4 linked regions of the Saccharomyces cerevisiae S288C genome follow. Changing the gene in region 1 together with any one later gene gives a genetic interaction. Each region holds a gene or a part of one and is shown on either strand. Other genes may lie near its edges. The genes, in order: FMT1, DFG16, MSC6 and HLJ1.

Region 1 (3,522 bases):
AAACTGCCCCGGCCTCTGATTTCTCTAAAGAAGCAGTGGAAGATGTTGTACAACAGCCATGTGGCGATGGAGTAAAGTATCTTCTTGGTAGCGCTAGGCTCTTGGTAGATGTATGCCTGATCAGCCGACGTCTTGACGCTTTTGGCCTCGATGGAACTGTAATTCGTAGTTTTCTGTGTGCTCTTGGAAGAGGCAAATTTCTCCGTGAGTTTTGGTGCAGGCATTTTTTTTTACCCCGATGTAAACGCCCCTGTGCTCTTTTTACTATATATTTAATTCCGGGCTTCCTACACTTAATTCACTCTGTTATGAACTACAAGCCATTACTAACATCAATCTTTCCGAATCATAAATAAACTGCAACTGGGAAAGAAGGCGGGCCTACTTTTCTTTTTCTTCATAGCGCGTAGGGCTTGGCAGCCATAGTTGTTGAGAGACCGATGGATGAGGGATTGAAAGAAGGGAGAAGAAGAATACTAAAAGAGGAATGTAGAGCCGGGTTACAGGAAAACTAACTTTTCACTCAGGGCGCCGCATCTTTTCCGCAGGCGCGCCATGAACTGGCCAGCACGTTCTACGGCGAAACCTTCGAACTGGAGGCGGCTCACACATAGTAGTAAGTTGCCGCGACAGGTGACCAAAATACAGTCTTTAATATCATCATATTTGAACATGCCCGGTTTACTGCCATTATCTAGACGTGCGTCTCTCATCACTTTACACTCATGAAACAATATTCGTTTTAATACTGAATTTTGAGCGTCCTTTCTTGCCGCTGTCGCTTCTTTGAACGCGTGCAGAGGACCGAGCGTTTCGAGTTTGTTAAGTAGTTCGGCGGCAGAATCGCGCGCCCAATGAATGCGTTTATCTTCTGTTGTTATACGGTGGGCGTAACTGGGTTTGTAAGCTGTTGGCGCTTGCACACGGTTCTGTGGTAGATATAACCTCTCACGAAGCGTTTGGCCCAAAAGTTGGGCGCCAAGGGCGCCCAACTGGTCCATCAGTATGGCAGTCCTCCGAGGCAGGCCCTCAGAATTAAAATCTGCCGTCGAATCATTGACTCTCCCTTTTGACAGCATTGTTGCGATCGCCAGTGGCTCCGTCTGCGCTACAATTGCACCATGGTCAAACCGATCCGGATGCAGTGTCTGTATAGTTACACCGGTGTAAGTGTCACCCTCGAGCAGAGCTCGCTGGATAGGTGCACTGCCTTTATGTCTGGGAAGTAGCGAAGGATGGACGTTTAGCGCCAATGGCACCGCGCGGATCAAGTCACCCGGAATGAGCTTCCCAAAAGAAACCGCAATGATCGCGTTGAACGGAGCACCGGAGCCGTCGTTCTCCGGATTTCCTTGGCGACTGGGTGTCAGTTTGCTTAGCGCCAACATTTCCTGCTTGGTGTCGCATGTAATTGGGCGTGGCAATTGAAGCTTCTCTGCCATATCGAAGATCGGCGGGTATTTCAAAATAGACTTCTGTCTACCGCACCACTTCGGCGACCTAGTTACTACTTGAATATTGTCCACTATACCACAGCTTCCATTATTTTGACGCAACTCATTGAGTGCTTGCAATGAGAAATTACTGAAAGTGTCGCTACCAAAGAAAAGCACATTCAAGGGCTGCACTGGTGGAGAAGCATTGTTTGAAATATATCTGCATGTGAATAGGAGGCGTGTAGGTGTTATTCTTCTCATTTTAACCATTTGTTTGATACGCCGTTTTCAATCTTCTCACTATGAGGTGCCTAGGTCCCCTTCCTTTTTTTTCTTACCTCTCTTTTTACGTTAATGAGAAAAGCGCTTACTCCTCTCCATAATAGCAGGTACAGCTTTTTTTGCTTTTTTCTTAATGGACGCTTCTTCCATTTGATATAAATATGGGTTACCCTGTGGGCATACGATAATTTTTATTCTCTCGATTAAGAAACCGAGATGAGCTTTCATATTAGTTTGGTAATGATATTGATGTGGCAAGTTGAAGTAAAGAGAGAAGGCGTTCTATGGGCTGAGCATGAGTGAGGGACAAATTCCAAGCTCAGATGTGTTAGGCTCGCAATTGGGTGTTGGTGTACAAGGCGCCAGTCTTTACTGTCCGCAAGAAAATTACACTACGAAGAAGCAAGAAAAGCCACAATGGCTAAGACCAGTAGATGATACATTGGCCGAGGATGCACTAGACCTTCATATAGTGGTCAAAAGTCTGCTTTGTGATACTGCCATAAGATATATTTCCGACGACAAGGTTTTGCAAGAATCAGATGCCGACGATGATCTCATAACTAGCGATATTGATGAAGATACGGACAATCAGGGGGATACATCTATAGTGGTCAATCCAGTGATACCCGTGGTACCGAAAGATGTCCATTTTTTTAAGAAAGTTGACGTTGGTAATGATTCTATGTTTGGTGTGAACTGCGATACGCCAGTTTCATTTCAAGATTACATTCCTTCAGATTTGCTGCGCAACTTAGATGATACATTACAAGAAAGTACTAACTCTTCGAGGCCGATGCAAGACGCCTTCTTTTGGGATCCTACTGTGGCTAATCGACTGGACTCTCAATATATTCAGACAGCATCAGATTTAAGAAATTATAGAGACGGAACCGAAATCATAGCATATGCCTCGGGTAAAACAGGCTCAGTCCTAAATATAGCAGTTCTGACACGACAAAATACATTGCATTTAAACCGACATAACAATGTAACGAGTATCGAATTGCATTCACCTATCAAGAGTATTAAGATACCGGGGGCCTCTGAGTCCATCGGGCGGAGATCAAACCTGGTGGGCATAATCACCGAAAATTCTTTCCAAATCTTTAGAATTGAAAGTGTCCACTCAAGATCATGTGATGTCATGGTTAGTAGTTCAGAACCACTGTATTTTGTTGAAATAGACGACCTTCAGGTGGTAGATTTTGCATTCAATCCTTGGGACTTACAACAATTCGCAATCATTGATATAAAAGGTAACTGGAGTATCGGGAGGATACCAAAGAATTTCAATAATAATAACAAAAGGAAACTACAGTTAATAGATAACCTCCACGGTACGATTTTTGATCCAGAAGAATTATCGTCATGGAAAAGAATAGAATGGTTTTCACACTTCCAAAAAATACTGGTCTTTGATAGGTCCAAAATGATTGAGATCGACTTTATGAACAATTGGCAAACGGAAGTAGTACAAGCGAAAGCATGGTCAAACATACGTGATTATAAGCGGATAGATGATAAAAATGGTATTTTACTCACTTCAAGGGAAATAATCATCGTAGGGGCATCAGAATCAAATGATCCAGTGAGAAGAATATCTTGGAAACACGATCTGGATCCAGATGATACTACGCTCAGAATCACTGTACAAAAGGTTAAAAAGCCTGACCATATTCTTCTGGTGGCCTTTGTATATTCGATGCGGCATAAACGCATCTATATGCATGTATTTTCCCATAGGAAAGCAAACTTGTTTCAATCCTTAGGATGCTCAACAGTTCTTGAAATTCCGGGTGGG
Region 2 (6,046 bases), on another chromosome or scaffold:
TTACCGAGCCATCTCAACCGTTGAGTGACAACAGTAGTAGTGAACAAGTACAAAAGCAAACCAGAAGCTGCCAACGCCAACGGCAGCGGCAGCCACGACAACAACAACCATTGCATAACATTCAATATAATATTCCACATCAAAACGGCCTCATGAGCGGCACCAACAATTCACATGATATGGATTTTAACAACGCAGGAGACTTTTAATACTTGAACAACAAAATGTTTCAACACGACAGATAAAACGAAGAAGAAATACTATATACAAATCTGTACTTGTGTGTATGCGTAACATTGTAATTTTAATTTTGCATTGAGAAATCTATTTTATTCATCTCTTTTAGTGTTAGTAAACACTCGCAGATGCCTTGAGCTCCGCACCGTAATTTAGTTTAATTTATTTCTCTTAGTGCCGTCTAAATAATAACGATCTAAAAAAAAGATTCCGGGAAAAAGAAACTATACCTTATATTTAGTTCATGCAGTTAAATAAATGTTGTTAATTAAGGGTAAAATATGATGATGTATTTATGATAAGTAAAGAGTAGGGGTCACCTAACATTTTTCACAATTGCATTTACTCTTTTCACAAGTGCACGTGGTTTCGCATTTGCATTTTTCACCACAACTCTTACATTGAGGGCTTCCGGTGCTGTGATCACATTTGCACTTTTCACCGCCAGAACAGCTTGGAAGGCAGGTGCTCCCACAATGACAAGAGTCCTTACAACATTCGCCTTAACAGTCACATATTTTTACAGTCATATTTATTGAGTACTATTTGACATTGTAGTGTTCAGTGTAATATCGCTTCGCTATTCTTAGGGGGGACGATGTGCGCCCTTCTTATATAGGCCCCGCTTGATCACTACTTCACAGCCCTCTCGCATCCCTATCCTTTTTTTGTCCGAAAGACAAAAATCACTTCCACACAGCAATAAAGACGCATTTATTGTTCTTTTTCTTAAAAGTGCTTGCAGTAGGGGGTTTAGCAAAAGAAAAAAATATATGACCGGTTGTTATGCGATCTGACGTAAAGTGGAACTCATTTTGAAGGGTTTCTGCACAGAAGTCAATGCCAGAAGGATTTGGAACACCTACAGGACTGAACGTCGGACTAAAATAATGTTGGTAGAGTATGGTATTACTGTAAATTAATCGTTTATACGTGACGTTGACGATGGGATTTGATTTTCTTGTATATCTGACTTGAAAATAAAAGCAATAAATGACCACAAGAAATAAAGGCAGCTGTACTTCTGCAGTTATGTCTTTTCGTCCACTGGGCCTGCCTTAATCACTATTTTCGTAATTATAAATGTGGTTGGTTCGAAGTTCGGTTTCCATACTTTCGTTGTCACTGATGTCTGTAGCTAGATAATTGGAATCTCTAATATGTTTGTCGGCTCCTGGTCTAACAGTTGAGCCTTCTTTATTCTGTCCAATGCCATTTTTTGGTTCATATGAATTGGTTTTTCGCCTAGGCTTCCTTAATAGCTGTCGATATTTGGATAATGTCGTTTTAGTATTAGGTTTGCCATTCGATTTACTTCCAAAACTGGGATTTTGCCCAAATTTATTCTCACTTTTCATTATCTTATGTCTTCTTCTTCTGTCCCTTATTCTTTCGATTGGAGATTTCCAGGTGGGTGAAGGGGATCCTACTAAACTTGATGAATCGTGGGAAGTAGTGTTACTTTTAGTAGTGTTTAAATCCCTGTTTAACGTTATGGCGCTTAAATGCTTGCCTAAATCTTCTCCGTAATAATTGACTGTTGGATTGGCGAAAAATTTGTCCCTATTGTTAATTTTTCGTCCAAGGACTGTTTTTTTGCTTATGTGCAGCTCCCTCTTTTCCAATACTCCAATTAAGCCCCAAACGTTCACTGTTATTAAAACTTTCAAAAGATGAACAAAGTTAAATGTCCAACCTCTAACATGTTTGGTGAAAGCAGCGAAAAAAATTGTGGTGAAATAGAATAAAATAAATATAAGAATATTATACGCCAATAATGGTATAGTTTCGTGATAATTTTCCCAAAGAATTCTCAATTTCGTTTTACACTTACCGTCCGTATTAATTTCAGCAGTTTTCGGTAAAAGTATGTAAGCAAAATTATGCCATGTGAAGTAACAAATAATGGAGATGAAAATTGTGTAAATCAGTAATTCGATTAGCTTGTAAAATACCTTCAAAACTACAAGGTTCTTTCTCCAAAGAAGGTTTGCGAATAAAATGTTATCGGCTAGTGAGAGGAAGCAACCCACGGTAATTATGATATGTGTCCCCTTTTTCATTTTAAATGGGATCCAATTCCAAGTTGGTTTTCCATAATTGGACTGTAAGTAGTGAACAATATAAATCCAGTTTATATCACTCAAAATATTTGCAACTAATTCACATATTTTATATGGTGCAGTTTCTACGATGAACGATTCAAATTGGCTCGCATCCTGGTAGTCATCGTGATATTGGCTGTCAAATATGACGGCTATAGTCTCGTTTAGAAATACAGTTCTTATAATCGCAGAGAAAAGGACGTAAACATGTACAACTTTATTTCTTCTATTATGATTATCGGATGGCAGTAATAAGACAACCAAAAATAGCATCCATGTTGCCACACAGATACACCCAGAAGCAAAGGTGATCATTATCATTCCTAAGGGAAATGGGTCTTTTCCGATGTATTTACTACTGTCATCTTGAACGTTGAATTTGTTGTTGATGTCATAAACAAAGTCTTGTAAGACATGAGAGAAATTAGGATTTGCACTGCCATTATCGCATCGGATCAAAAAGGATGGGTAATTTAAAGTGTAATTATAAGCACGTAAGTGCCACGAATTACTTGCTAGAGAGATGAAGCCACCTGTCAATACATTTACCGTGCATGAGTTTTCATATTTATTTAGTAGTTTATCATCTATCAAATCAGTCAGATTGTAAGCTGGAATGTTGTCGATGTGTTTTTTATAAGGTGGCCGGTGGTCGTAATGCGGTGGTCTTTCATCACCAAGTTTATGTCCCGGAGGACCAGGTATCAAATCGGGAGGTTGAATTCTCTTTCTTGCTGCTTTTTCATACGCACCTACAAGTCCTAAATGGTAAACTAAAGTGAGGAGGTAGTAAAAATGCAATCTTATGATCATTAATCTTGCACGTAAAGACGTTCCGCAACAAAAAATGCTTGTGAGTGCAATATCAATAAGTATTGTTTTTGAGCCTTCGGAGTTGAGCTGCCATTTGGTGGTACTTGTTTTGAATATGATAGAAGCCTTATCTTTGACACTTCTTCCAGTCAATTTTCTCGCCAAGTTAAAAAAAAAAGTTACAATTTTCTCATCACCCCGAAACAACAAAAGAAAGTATATTGCTCTTTAGCCCTTCCTTGCAGATTTTTCAATCCAACGGGGCTAGTAAATCTGATATCAATCACATCGATTGTGTTATCTTCACATGTTGTTTGATAGAAATCAGACCTTCTTTTTTCTTCTTCTCGGATGTTTATAGTTAGTAAAGCTAAACTGTGTATATATGGCAATCACCGAAGACGAATTATTACAGGACAGAAATAAATGGGTTACACACCAGAAATCAGGGACAAAAGGGCCCAACGGAAATTTTATAGGTTGTTTTGTTTATCTGTGCACATAGGCGACAAAACTAAAGTTATGTATCTAAGAATTACAACGTAGTGTAGGTGAGCGGTACTTGAAACTTTCTTTTTGTAAACACCATAAAAGGATATTAATGACATCGGTTGAAATAATGACATCTAGAAGGAAAATTACAACTAGAAGAAAGCGTGATTATGTTGTAAAGAATCCGGCAAATAGAAAAGCTAAAAGATGATTGCAAGGCTAGTGAAGATATTTCAAAACTTAGTTACTCGTTACCTTAAAAACCTTACATTGTTCTCATGTATTACATGAAATTCTATCTTTTCTTTTTGAATAAGCTCTAAGTATTAATCCTCAAGTATTAATTGCCCACCACCTTCTTAAAACTGTTGTTTTTTAATTACAATTTTCTACGCTAACCCGTTTCTTCCATTTTCTCACTGTTAGTATTCCCATATAACGATCTTCTTAGATTATCTATAAAAGCGTATTTTGAGATTTGTTGCAATGACCTAAAAATGGTTGACAGTCATTCTTCTTGTTGCTGCTTTTAATAAACTAATTCTTTAGAGAAGGATAAGTACTGTGACATATTTACACTTTTTAACTAACTTCTTTGGCCACAACTAGTGAAATGTTCATCTACTGCGCAATTCAATATGCCCGCCGATAGCTAAGCGATAGCTCTTTCAAAAATTTTAAAAAAAAGGTACTATCAAACTGAATTGGAATGATTATGGTTCAAACTTACTCCTGATTCAAATATAGCAAAAAAATCAGGTGTGCAGCTATAGATCTGCCAGATACACGAGTCATTGCGAAAGGCACCATATATTACCTTATTTAGTGCCTTCTTGAAAAACAACTACAAGATCTTAACGTCACTGTATAGTGCCATTCGGTGAGCAAAGACAGGTATTGGTACTAATTGACAGTAAATGACTTATCTAACCCGTTGACGCAATGCTTCGCTTTTGCCATCAAGAATGTTGAACTGTGCAAAATGGTATTTTTTCGGAGAAACATTTCAAAATGGAAAGGTAACAACGTCCGTAGTTTTGTTTTTCCGTTTTATCGTTTACATGATTATCCTGAAAAGTCCCCTGCAGCAGCAATCATAGGGCCCACTCACTGCCATGTCTTCCCACCTCCTAAGAAATGGCTGCCCCACGCCCCTTTGACGACTTACTCCTCAAGGTAAAACTTGGCGTACGGAGAGGGGTCGAGAAAAGGTTCCGAGTGGAAATGTACGCCAATGTTTAGGGCTACGTGGAATGTGATCTCATTCTTACAAAACACGTAGATGATGAAAAGGGCCGCAAAAGTTTCTGTTATTCTTTAAATTGTTCCCAGAAATCCTCGAAGGAATGACCTAAATCTTAAGGCACTTGCTTTTAAAACTATTGTTCGTTAATTTGTTAGTAATGCAACCAAGTGCTCCAGCCCAACCGAAAAAAAGGGAAATTAACTTTACATCGATAAGCTCTGACGCAATGCGGGAGGGGATTTCCCGAGCGGAAATACCACGGCGCTGAAAAAAAAAAAATCGGAACCGGAGTTGCCTCACCGATCCCAATGGTGACATGCAAAGAAAATTTTATTGGCATTAAATCTATGAGGAAGAGGGTAGGAAGGAGTACTAGGCAAAAATCGTAACTAGGAGCAGAAGGCGAGTAAAACCCTTTCAATACTAGGGAGAGAGTGATTTGATAAGGATACCTCCTCACTCGAGAACTAGTTGATGTCTGCATCATTACCAAAGTTCATGTATATAAAAAAGGAACTGGGTGATTTATTTTTTCTCACGCATTCTGCTTACAAATAATTCATTAGATAATTTTACTGATTAACTACGACTTTTTGCAGCCGTTAATCTCATCATAGATATAGAATAACAGCTTGGAACAAGAAGGAAAACCAAAAACCTACTCAAATGTTAATGCAAATAAAAATGGACAATCATCCTTTTAATTTTCAACCTATTTTAGCTTCCCATTCAATGACAAGAGACAGTACAAAGCCAAAAAAAATGACGGATACCGCTTTCGTGCCAAGCCCTCCTGTAGGGTTTATTAAAGAGGAGAACAAGGCTGATTTGCATACAATTTCGGTAGTTGCTTCGAATGTGACTCTACCGCAAATTCAGCTCCCAAAGATTGCAACACTTGAAGAGCCTGGTTATGAGAGCAGAACTGGCTCACTTACAGATCTTTCTGGAAGAAGAAATTCTGTTAATATAGGAGCATTGTGTGAGGATGTTCCAAATACTGCGGGCCCACATATTGCAAGGCCGGTGACAATAAACAATTTGATTCCTCCGTCTTTACCAAGACTGAACACATACCAGCTTAGACCGCAACTATCAGATACTCATTTAAACTGTCACTTCAATTCTAATCCATACACCACTGCATCACACG
Region 3 (5,970 bases), on another chromosome or scaffold:
CGACAACCTCTTGAAGTAGTCATTATATTTGGTGTGATTGTATAGTTCCGTACCATTCACTGCCCCACTTTGTTCTGATTCTGCATTGACTGTACCACTGAAAGATGTTGCAGAGGTTTGATTAGATGAGACCATTGCAGTAGATGCACTTATAGTTGTATTTGCACTTGGGGCAAGTGAAATTATATTGTTTTCATTCATTGCTCCATTAGACAAGTTCGTATTTATGAATCCCATTCTTTTCGCTGCTCTAGATATTTTAGGTTCTGGAGTAGGTAGGTTAGGATGATCTTTTAGATATCGTGATATCGCAATTGCCCAATATTCTTCTTTGGGGATGCCCGTATGAAATGGAGTATAACTCTGTACTTGGTCAAGCTCTTCTTTGGGTATTTTATTATCCTCTAAATCCAAGATGCTCAGCTTGTTTAATTTTGTGATCGATTTCAAATTACGTATGCTAGTAACGTTGTTGTCTTTCAATGATAATACACGAATATTATCTTGCCAAAACGATGATATTTCATCTGGCAATGCTTCAATCTCATTGGAGGACAGATCCAAGATCTCTAATTGAGGGCATTGTGTCAAAATATATGGGATTTCTTTAAAATTGTTATTATGCAAATCCAGATATTGCAGCCTTGATAACCTCTTGAAACTCGCTGGTAAGGATGTTAAGTGATTTTTCCTTAAAGACAGTCTTTCAACATTTTGGATATATCCCACATCTTCATCTGATATGGACTTGATATTAAGAGCTATTAATTTTAGTGTAGTACCACTAGAGCTGGATTTCTCTTGTGTTGCCAACTCAGATATTATAGTGTTGCTTGAATTAGTGGATGTTTTGTCAGCAGGCAAATGTTCCTCCTTCGGATCCAACGTCCTCTTTGAAGATGTCGCTACCATACGTTACGGATACTTATAGACTTAACTCCCCCCAATAAGTTCAGGTGAAAAGTAGCATGGAGTTTTGGCATTAACTTTATTTGCCCACTTATATTTAGAGATCTTGAAATACTTTTTGTTACCCGACTTGTAGCTTCATTTTTTCATTTTTTTTTTTTTTTTTTATTTTTATTTTGTATTGTTCTTTGAAAGAATCATGCATGGAAGCAATAACTATTATACGGAAGTTATATACAAGAAATCATTATATAGTTACAGCATCATATGTGCAGAAAATTGGTTCTGAGCTTTTCTTATTGTCTTCTTATGACAAGTGTATTAAGTCAACTTTTCTGGAACAGTAATTCCATCACATTCTTTTAAAATTTGAATATCCTTAGGGTTGGGACGAAAACCCTCATTAGTGCCTAAATCTCGCATAAACTGGTTAATAAAAGCAACCTCTTTGTCAGATAACTGCTGAGTATTGCGTGCAAATGTGGCCAAGTTGAATAGAATTTTCGAAACGGCCAAGTTCGACACCCTGATACTTGAATCCTTAGCTAGATTGTAGTACTTTTCGATGTAGGGAACGTACTCGCTATGTTTACTCTTGTAAAGTTTATCACAGAACCCCAATAATAAAGCATTTAGAGGCGTATTATCCACGTTTCTCTTTCTAGTCTTTTGATATGAGAGAAAATCAGAAAACAAATTCTTTGCCTCGGCCACTGTGCCGTCAGGCTTATTAAACTCTGCGGAAATAAAGTCTGCATAATTCCTAGCATTTAAGTGAGTTCCCAATTGTTTGTAAAGTTGACGAATCGGCTCGACAGTGGGGCACACTGAAATAAAGGCTTTCGTAATCTTTTCAACCTTTTCATAATCGGTGGGATTAATGGAAACACTTTGCAATAGATCGAATTGTGGGCGTGTATCTTCTGCCTGAAATTTATAATTAGCGTACATTTTAATGCTTAGAGTATCCAAAGTAGGGGGTAACACACCATCTGATGGATAATGGTTATAGTAAAATGTGTTGAATTGTTCTTCGCTCACTTTTTCATCATCTAACATTAGCAATAAAACTTTATTGAACAACTTCTTGGTTTTAACAGTCTCTGCTAACTCCCCTTTGACTTGGTCATACTTTAGAGGCGAAGTTTGACATAAGGCCAGGAGAAATGCTTCCTTCACGATGGGATCTTTCTTGAACTTTTTAGGAAGTTCTTCTTCCCAAAATTCCTTTAAATGGTTGAAATTTCCAGAATCAGTTAGTGCGTTAACTAGCGTCGCATAAGATGTGTTTTTAATATTATCTCCTGGTTTGATAACACTGTTCCAGACTGCTAGAATTCTGTCCAACTTCTCTTTACTCGATTTAGCTCGTAAGTGCGACACAGCTCTTAAAAGACAATCTTTCAGCGACGTACTATTTGGGAAAACCTTGCTATACTGGTTATAAATAGTAACAACTTGGTCGGGTTTATCCAAATCAATAAACTTGTCCATGAACTTGCTTATGATCTCTACATTTTTCTCACCTTCAAGTTTATTGTATTGGCCATAAAGATCCCTTAAATCTATCCATCTAGGAGCATTTTCAATTTGACTTAAGAAATGATCACTATCCTGTACTGTGTATTGATAGTACAAAGTGTTTAGATTTTTGATAATCACGTCTCTTCTTTCAAGAGAGCTAAATTCTGTACTTAACATTCTTCTAATCATGTTAAAAGGTAAAACCTGGCCCATTTTACGATCGATCTGTAAAATCTTATACAGAATATTGATATCCACAGTATTCTCTGGTAAAGATAAGTAAGCAATGGTGGTAATTGCAATATTTTGCATATGTGCACGAGAAGAACTATTTTGAAGTAAGATCACTGGGTTTTCGGAAATGGTTTCCAAGTACTTCACCCATAAGGCAATAACGTCCTGTGGTGATTGATTATATAGAAGGTACTTTAAAACAATCGTGAAATGTTGTGAGCGTGCCAATTTGTATTGGCACAATGTGTTTAATACTTGATAAGGATCTAGCGTCATATTTTTGCTTCTGTAACTTAATTCCTGTAGGAGATCCGAAGAAAAATTCGCTAACAAGTGTGATCTTTCCATAGGTGAAGGGTTCCTTAATTTCTGTTTCAACGATTCAATCTTATCTTTAAAGTCATTAAAAACTTCATTGATATCTGAATCTGGAGCTTTCAACTCGTTCTTCAAATCAGCAGCCAAATTTTGTACCCTTTCAAACGGTGAGACGTGCTTTTCTCTATTTCCTGAATGTCCATCATCTGTTTCTTGTAAGTGAACGCTGCTTTGTTGGTATATCGATGTTGAAGAGGTTAGACATCTTCGTGAAATAATCACCTTTGAACAATCAAAGGCCCTTAAAGCATTATGGGAAAGCATCTGTATCCCAGTGGAAGGCTCTGATATTATTTTGTGCAGAGCCAACTTAAGCAAACATATAGACAGTACGTCCTTAGTTAGACATGTGTAGCAATTGAACGATTCCACAGGCGGTATGTATATCGTATATGATGATATTACATTTTACTTACCCCGCTTTTTCCCTCTTATAATCGATTAATTACTTAGTCGACGAGCAACCTTTTATGGCATATTTGAAAGGTAATACAATGTTCCAACTTCGTTTTTTATTCACAGATCAATTAACGTATTGGCACACCTGATATTTCCTCAATAGTAAGTAGTTTTGGTGATGTAACTTTGACACTACCTTCGACCGAATATTCACTTATAAAACTTATATATTACTTGCTTTTACTTCTAACTTGTCTGGAGAGTTCAATCTTTGTTTTCAGCTCTATATACCGGTTTTCTGCATCGGCGGCTAAATGGTATTCTTTTCCGCTTGGCTCTACACAATGTTTATTAAGCTGAGCGTCGGTGTTTCCGATTTGGACCGTTTGACTTTCTTTTTGGACTGGTTTTCTTTTTTAGTACGAGGTGTACGGACAAAAGATACTAACGGACAAAACGCGGTTGCAACTGAAATTTTTTTTTCACTATTTTCGTAGGGCACATTGGTGTAAATATATATATATATACTCAAGGTTCATCTCGTTTTTTTTAATATTCTTGTTCCTTACTCTTGATCATACGTAGAATGTATGTCTTTATCCTGAAAGTAAAGAAAGGATTATACAATGCTGAAATGTTAGTACTAAATATGAGCATACAATCACTTGTTGTTCACTAGTTCAACGAGTTTCATTCATATTCAACTCACGCAAGGGATTATGGAAGAAGAATCCTTTTTATGAAAGGGAAAAAAAACCGAAATACTATGTTAACTGCTTCCAACGCTCTATACTAATGCGCATGAAGATTTTACTTGCGAATCAAACTGATTCGCACGCAATATCTAAGTCTGCTATACCTACCTTACATCTCGCCGTATGTTATGGGTGCAAGGGTGTTTTTTTTTTTTTATATTTTTTTTGTTTGGGGTTTTCGATACTTTGTGAAGGAACGACGCAGAAAAAAACGAAAATCATACGCCCGATGAAATTTTTGATAAGAAAATTTTCTGAAAACCCATGCGATGAGAAGTCAAAAATTTTTCTTCTTCTCCTTTTCTTGTACTTTTATCCCGGCTAGTTCTTTTTCTAAAATTTTCATATTCCAGTCCAATATTTTACTTCATTTTTTTTTTCTGTTCTCGCTTGGCTTGATTTAATTTTTTACGTAGGTTTTTTTTACACGATATTGTTTGTATTATCAGTATTCCCTTCAAGCTCCCCTTTTTTTTATCAATTAAGGTTCTTGGTAATTTCTATTTCTGAAAAACCAAAAACAAAAAGTCATTGATTGACTATTTGACTCAAATTACCAAAATCATAACTTTTCTTTTCAGCATTCCATTATTGAAGGCTTTAAAATAATAGTTTCTTTTTTCCTATTATTTTATTTTTTCCTTTACATTGGAATACATTTTATTTTGAGTTTTAATTTTTTTTATTTTCTATTCCATTGTTTTTTATTTGCTTTGGACTGCCCTTTTCGTAATAATTTCCCTTTTTACCCTATTTTAGTCACTTCTGTGTCAGCAAGCGGGATTATATAAAGAAACGTTAGCAGAAACAATATCAGCAAAATAGAAAATAAACGGGCAATCAATCAATAACTACAGAAATATTGGGAGGTTTTAACTAATTTTTCCAGGATATTTCAACTTTTCATAAATCAAATTTTTTTTACTTTTTTTTTTGCTTTGCTATAGTATTTTAGAAAAGGACAAAAAAATACGAAAAAAGACAAAAAACCATATAAAAAAATTGATTAGAAGAACTTATAATGGCATTGGCAAATTCCAGACCTTTGCAAATACCAACTTTAGAGAATGAAATTCTTCATAACTCAAATTCTCCAGTATTTCAGTTGAATTCAATGGGATTTACAACTAGAGCTGACACTATTTCGAATCCAGGCACGGATCTTATCGGCAACCAGCCAGGCATGGCCCTTGATGATAATAATTTGGCCGGTTCTTCGTTTTCCTCATCTCAGGAAATAAAAGCTACCAAACCTAAGAAGGACTTTGGTGCTCCCAAAAAAGACAATCCATTATTAGAAATTTCTAAGCTAATACCTGTTACTGGTGAGAGGCCAAAACCCGAAAATAGAGACTCCCCTCTGGATGATGACGTTCTTCACGCAGTTTTTTTAATATTATGGGAAATGGATCCGAATCAACAAGGCATGACCGTCAAACAACTGTGTGACTTGCTTTTGCAAAAACATCCAGATATGTCCAATTTATCAACCAAGTTGTCAAATTTAATTTCCGCAAAACTGAACGCTTATGTTAAAAAAATTGAAAAAGGTGAGAAAACGTTAACTTATGCTTTATCAAGGGAATGGTCTAATTCATCTCCTAGAAGGATGCTCTATATATACAGAGGCATATTATCTCCCGATTACAAGGAGCATGCTCAAGCTGTTACGATGCAACTTAAACAACAATTGGAGACCTCCGGTGATACAAGCGACTTTAATTCAAATGGCAAGAAAAAAAGGGAGTCCAGCAGTAACCAGCTAGTTAAC
Region 4 (4,828 bases), on another chromosome or scaffold:
TTTGAGAAAGACTTGAAACCAATGACTCTACTAACAGTCCCTGAATTATATTCGTACGGGCGCCTTTCACAAGGTTTTAATTGGTTAATATTCATGGAGTGGGTTATCTTGGCAACTACGAATTCTCTTATCATTACATTTTTAAATGTTGTAATGTGGGGTATGAGTTCTCTTTCAGATAACACTATGTATCCTCTAGGTCTCATCAATTTCACAGCCATTGTTGCCTTAATTAACGTTAAATCCCAATTTGTTGAAATGCACAATAGGAATTGGCTGGCTTTTACTTCTGTAGTTCTATCCTGTGGAGGTTGGTTAGTGTGGTGTTGTGCCCTTCCTATTTTGAATAATACTGACCAAATATATGATGTAGCATATGGCTTTTACAATCATTTTGGTAAAGACATTACATTCTGGTGTACTAGCTTGGTGTTGGCACTGTTACCTATCACTTTAGATATAGTTTACAAAACATTCAAAGTTATGATATGGCCATCAGATTCTGATATTTTTGCTGAGCTGGAACAAAAAAGTGATATCAGAAAGAAGCTGGAACTAGGAGCCTATAGCGAAATGAGGCAAGGATGGACGTGGGATAAAGATCCCAGTACTTTCACAAGGTACACAGACAAAGTTCTTTCAAGGCCAAGAACTAATTCACGTGCAAGTGCAAAAACTCATAACAGCAGCATATATTCAATGTCAAATGGGAATGTAGACCATTCCTCAAAAAAAAATTTCTTTGGAAACTCTTCTAAAAAGAGCTCTGAACGATACGAGGTATTACCTAGTGGCAAGTTAATCAAGCGACCATCCTTGAAAACACAAAGCAGTAAAGACAGTATTGGCGGCAATATAACTACTAAACTGACGAAGAAACTGAAGCTTCCATCGAGGAATGTGGAAGATGAAGATGTGAACCAGATTATTCAGGCAAGGCTAAAGGATCTGGAGTAATTCTCGTGATCTTGTTTAATTACATTATTGAGAACATTTTTATATATATACCTTTTATTGGAAATTAGTAGCGAGCTTAGAAGACTTACTTGATTTGTTGAGTCGAATATTATTTCGGCATCCACACATTAGAAAATTAACAAGATGTATTTTGAGAGAAAGCAAGGCACAACGCATGGGAAATCTTCACAAATTTTAAATACTATCTATAAACTAACTCTAATTATAAAAGTGGCTTGATTACTTTCGGTGTCAAAAGAAAAAGTAAATGTATGGCGTAAATGCTATGATTAGTTATCAGAAAATAAAGATGTTTATAAGTATTATACTGTCTGATTTAATTTCCTCGATATATTAAAATTCTAATACCATTATGTCCTTCTGGTAAACTGTGGAACAAAATAAAACATAGCCAGGAAGCCTGAAGGAATGACCTAAATGTCATCTAGTATACAAATGCGTTTTTTCAATTTTGCTTGCTCCTTGTAGTTTTATTTTATAGTACAACTTTGACTAACGTTGGAAAATAATAAAAAAATGACAGTAAAAATATTGTGTTTAACTAAACAGGTAATCTTTAATCATAGGAAGAACAATAAAGATGATGAAAAGAACGAGCATATTTTTTAATTGCGAATTCACTGCATTTTCTTCTGCTTGTTGTTGCTGCTGTCTTGAGCGGGGTTGTTGACGCATGAACGGTGAGCCACCACGATTATTAGTATAAACTCTGAAACCACCGGGGCCTCCAAATGAAAAAGTGGAAGCAGAAGGCCCAAATGGTGAAGCGCCGAATGGGCTGCCGCCTGCGTTGAACAAAAAGTCGAATATGTCCTCTGGTGGTCCAGCTCTTTGACCACCGAAACGTGAATTGAAAAACATGTCTTCAAATCCGCCACCCATTGGAGACCCACCTGCACTTCCTCGGAACCCTGAAGCAGCACCTCTGGATGGCATTTGTCTATCGTCAGGATCCCTACCTATCCTGTCATAAATACTGCGCTTTTCCTCATTGCTTAGTACTTCAAATGCCCTATTAATTACTTTGAAAGCTTCTCCCGCTTTTGGATGAGAGTTTTTATCAGGATGCAATTTGATTGCTAGTTTTCTGTATGCCTTCTTGATCTCACTATCTGTGGCTTTCCTATCTACCTTCAAAATTTCGTAAAACTCATGCTTGTCTTTTGACAGTATTTCTAGCGCGATTTTTTCTTGATCCTCAGTGAAAGACATGTTCTTCCTATTATAGACCTTCCACAAGTTATATTGCAGAAACAGCGTTGCTGCTATTATGGCTTCTGGAAGTAGAGGTGTATGAAAAGAACTTCTGCCAGCTTCCTTTATGTTCTTCACGAATACTTTCCAGCCTACTCTGCGGGTTACCCACTATACAAATACCATAATATGTTACGCGGTCCGCTATATACGAATCTACTATGTACGTCGAACATCATTAATCAAGTTTTTGGGGTTGTCATACATGGCTAAAACGCTCAGGATATCACGTAGGTGTTTCAAACCCCTTGTTGGTGGAGACCAATCCTGGTAAGTTCGCCAAATCTCTGTTAATCTTCTCAAAGCTTCCACGGTGTCCCTCTGAAAAACAGGGCCAGAAGTACTCGTGGTACTATCCAAGAAGCAGTTTAATGAGATGGAGAGCCTCAACGCATGTGGTATCTCTCGCTGCGGTAAATTTTTCAATTGAATCAATTTGGAGAAGGAATCATGAATTTTCCATACCAAATCATATTGATTGACAGTATTCAATATGCTTGTAGGAGTGTCGAGGTCGATGTTTAAACGTAAATGCTTACGACTTAATGGGTTTTTCGTGAATATTGTATTGTACAGAAAGCATTTATAGACTTTATCGTCATCATAAATGTCTGAATATATCCTTACGAAATCCGAAGATTTTTCGTTTTGATACTGCACAAACTGCAAAAAATCCTTTACCGTAGAAATATTCTCTGGCAATAATGATTCCGATGATGAACCGAGACTTTCACCCTCCCTTTGGTCGTAATTGAGTTGATGACCATTCATTTTCCACTTACTGTCCATTTCTTGAAGCCAGATTTTGTTGCTGTTCTGGTACTGTTTCCTAATATTTGGAGGCAATGTGTAATCATTAAATGACCTTGAAATAAAAAAAGGACTTAGTAAATTAATTATGGGAATAAATTGTTTATATCCTAAATTCTCCGTTATCATCAAAATATCCCATAAGGTTATTTCGAAAAGTCTGTTGGTGGGAATCTTCAATCTCGATTCAAAATTAGGGGTCCTTACATGGACGTCATTAATGTTACTAGTTGCTTCATCATCGGTATCAAGGTTTAAATTATTAGCATTCTTTAAATCAATGCCCATGTACTTCCCATTGCACCATAAATTTCTCAAGATTTTAGGGTGATTATAATCTATAGCAAGTTTTTCTGAAATTGTCATAAAATTATCATAAAGCTTACCAAAAAATGTCAGTCGAAACGTATCCCAATTGAACAAGAGCCAATCCAATGCATCCTGAACTAGTTTAGATTCACTAGAATCTATCCGCCTATAATTTTTGATTTTAGATAATGTGTCTTGTTGCTTTTTGTCAATGCCCTGAAATAACTGTTTTTCTTTGATTTGTTGGCTCTTCGTTGTGAAATCATTATTTGAATCATGATCATTACTATCATTTTCGTTAGTACTGGAATTGGAACCCAAGTTATTATAACTATTGCTAGTAAAGTCAGTGCTGTGGTCCCAAAATCGATAGCCTTGTAAACATGACTGGAAACTCAATACACTCACTGTAGTGTTTTCATCAAACTCTAGAACTTCATTATTTTGCACGATATATTTCGCTAATAGCAAAGTTAAGGGAACGCTGTGATAAACGCCCACAAAAAAAATTGAATCTACCTCTTTGAAAAGATGAGCCCAGTGGTTCAGTAACTCTACACATTCTTTATATGTAGGTATTAAATCTTGATTATGCAGTGGGCACTGGAACGATAGGGTCAAGACTCTTTGAGGTTGTTCTTGCGCTAGATTTTGTGACAATTTTCTAGAAAGATAATAAGCCGATCTTTGTGATTCTAATGAGCGCTGCTCATACTTTTCTGGTAAATCCCCCACGACGGATATTATAATAATTCTCTTATCCTTCAGTAATGCGGTTTTTTTTTGTCTTAAATAGAGATGTTGCTCATTAGGGAAGTTATAGTAATTTTTGATAGTATTCAATACCTTAGTTCTTAGTGGTTGGACGTGCAGAAAATTCAAAGGGTTATCTGATGGTAGGATTAAAGAATCATTAATAAATACATTATACCCAGGGTTACCTCCCTCCCCAGGATATTTGTTTAATGGCAATGGGCATTTGGCTGATCCTGTACCAGAGACACTGATTATTCCTGGGGTATCTATGGAATCAATTATGTTTGATGAATTTGATATATGTGGAATTGCTTCGTACCAACACCATGATTTCGACTTTTTTGAAATTATATCCTTAGCCTCATTTTCCAAGAAGTTGATTTGTTCAGTGTTTAGTTGAGAGTAGCGGGTATTATCATCAACAACAATTGGGGCACTTCTATATCTGGATGTTGCAAAAGAAGCGATTTTAGACCATATCCCTTTATTGTCATTATTCGAGTTCACGCTATCTTGAAAATCCGTTGTCGGACTACTCCTTCCTTGTCCATTAGGATATTCTGCAATTCTTCCCGTGTTTGGCTCATCGTCGGCAGTGGAATTCCACCAGGGTTTCCATCTGTTTTGTTGTCGTGGACGTTGGGGTGGGACTTCCTGCTGGTCCTCTCGTATCTGCTGCTGCTCTTGTGTTTGATGCTGCAACTGTTTATCCTGTTTCTGC

The links.
Region 2: mutations in FMT1 (region 1) and DFG16 together harm fitness more than expected from each alone (negative genetic interaction), as found in Saccharomyces cerevisiae (2 studies listed by BioGRID).
Region 3: mutations in FMT1 (region 1) and MSC6 together harm fitness more than expected from each alone (negative genetic interaction), as found in Saccharomyces cerevisiae (3 studies listed by BioGRID, with this or other methods).
Region 4: mutations in FMT1 (region 1) and HLJ1 together harm fitness more than expected from each alone (negative genetic interaction), as found in Saccharomyces cerevisiae (2 studies listed by BioGRID).

What each region holds. Positions count from the first base shown.
Region 1 is NC_001134.8:200,240-203,761, reverse strand, and holds FMT1 (methionyl-tRNA formyltransferase), read right to left. Parts: upstream 1,707-3,522; coding exon 501-1,706; downstream 1-500. Other genes in the region: bifunctional glycerol-3-phosphate/glycerone-phosphate O-acyltransferase SCT1, read right to left, coding at 1-224; RRN6 (Rrn6p), read left to right, coding at 2,014-3,522. UniProt on the Saccharomyces cerevisiae protein: Formylates methionyl-tRNA in mitochondria and the cytoplasm. Responsible for the formylation of the 8 N-terminally formylated (Nt-formylated) mitochondrial matrix proteins that are encoded by mitochondrial DNA.
Region 2 is NC_001147.6:383,934-389,979, reverse strand, and holds DFG16 (Dfg16p), read right to left. Parts: upstream 3,156-6,046; coding exon 1,296-3,155; downstream 1-1,295. Other genes in the region: HMS1 (Hms1p), read left to right, coding at 1-209; YOR029W (uncharacterized protein), read right to left, coding at 5,045-5,380; CIN5 (Cin5p), read left to right, coding at 5,560-6,046. UniProt on the Saccharomyces cerevisiae protein: Involved in invasion during filamentous growth.
Region 3 is NC_001147.6:999,917-1,005,886, forward strand, and holds MSC6 (Msc6p), read right to left. Parts: upstream 3,310-5,970; coding exon 1,231-3,309; downstream 1-1,230. Other genes in the region: SOG2 (Sog2p), read right to left, coding at 1-912; GDS1 (Gds1p), read left to right, coding at 5,221-5,970. UniProt on the Saccharomyces cerevisiae protein: May be involved in the control of meiotic sister-chromatid recombination.
Region 4 is NC_001145.3:575,080-579,907, reverse strand, and holds HLJ1 (type I HSP40 co-chaperone HLJ1), read right to left. Parts: upstream 2,191-4,828; coding exon 1,516-2,190; downstream 1-1,515. Other genes in the region: aminophospholipid-translocating P4-type ATPase DNF3, read left to right, coding at 1-957; CVM1 (Cvm1p), read right to left, coding at 2,392-4,828.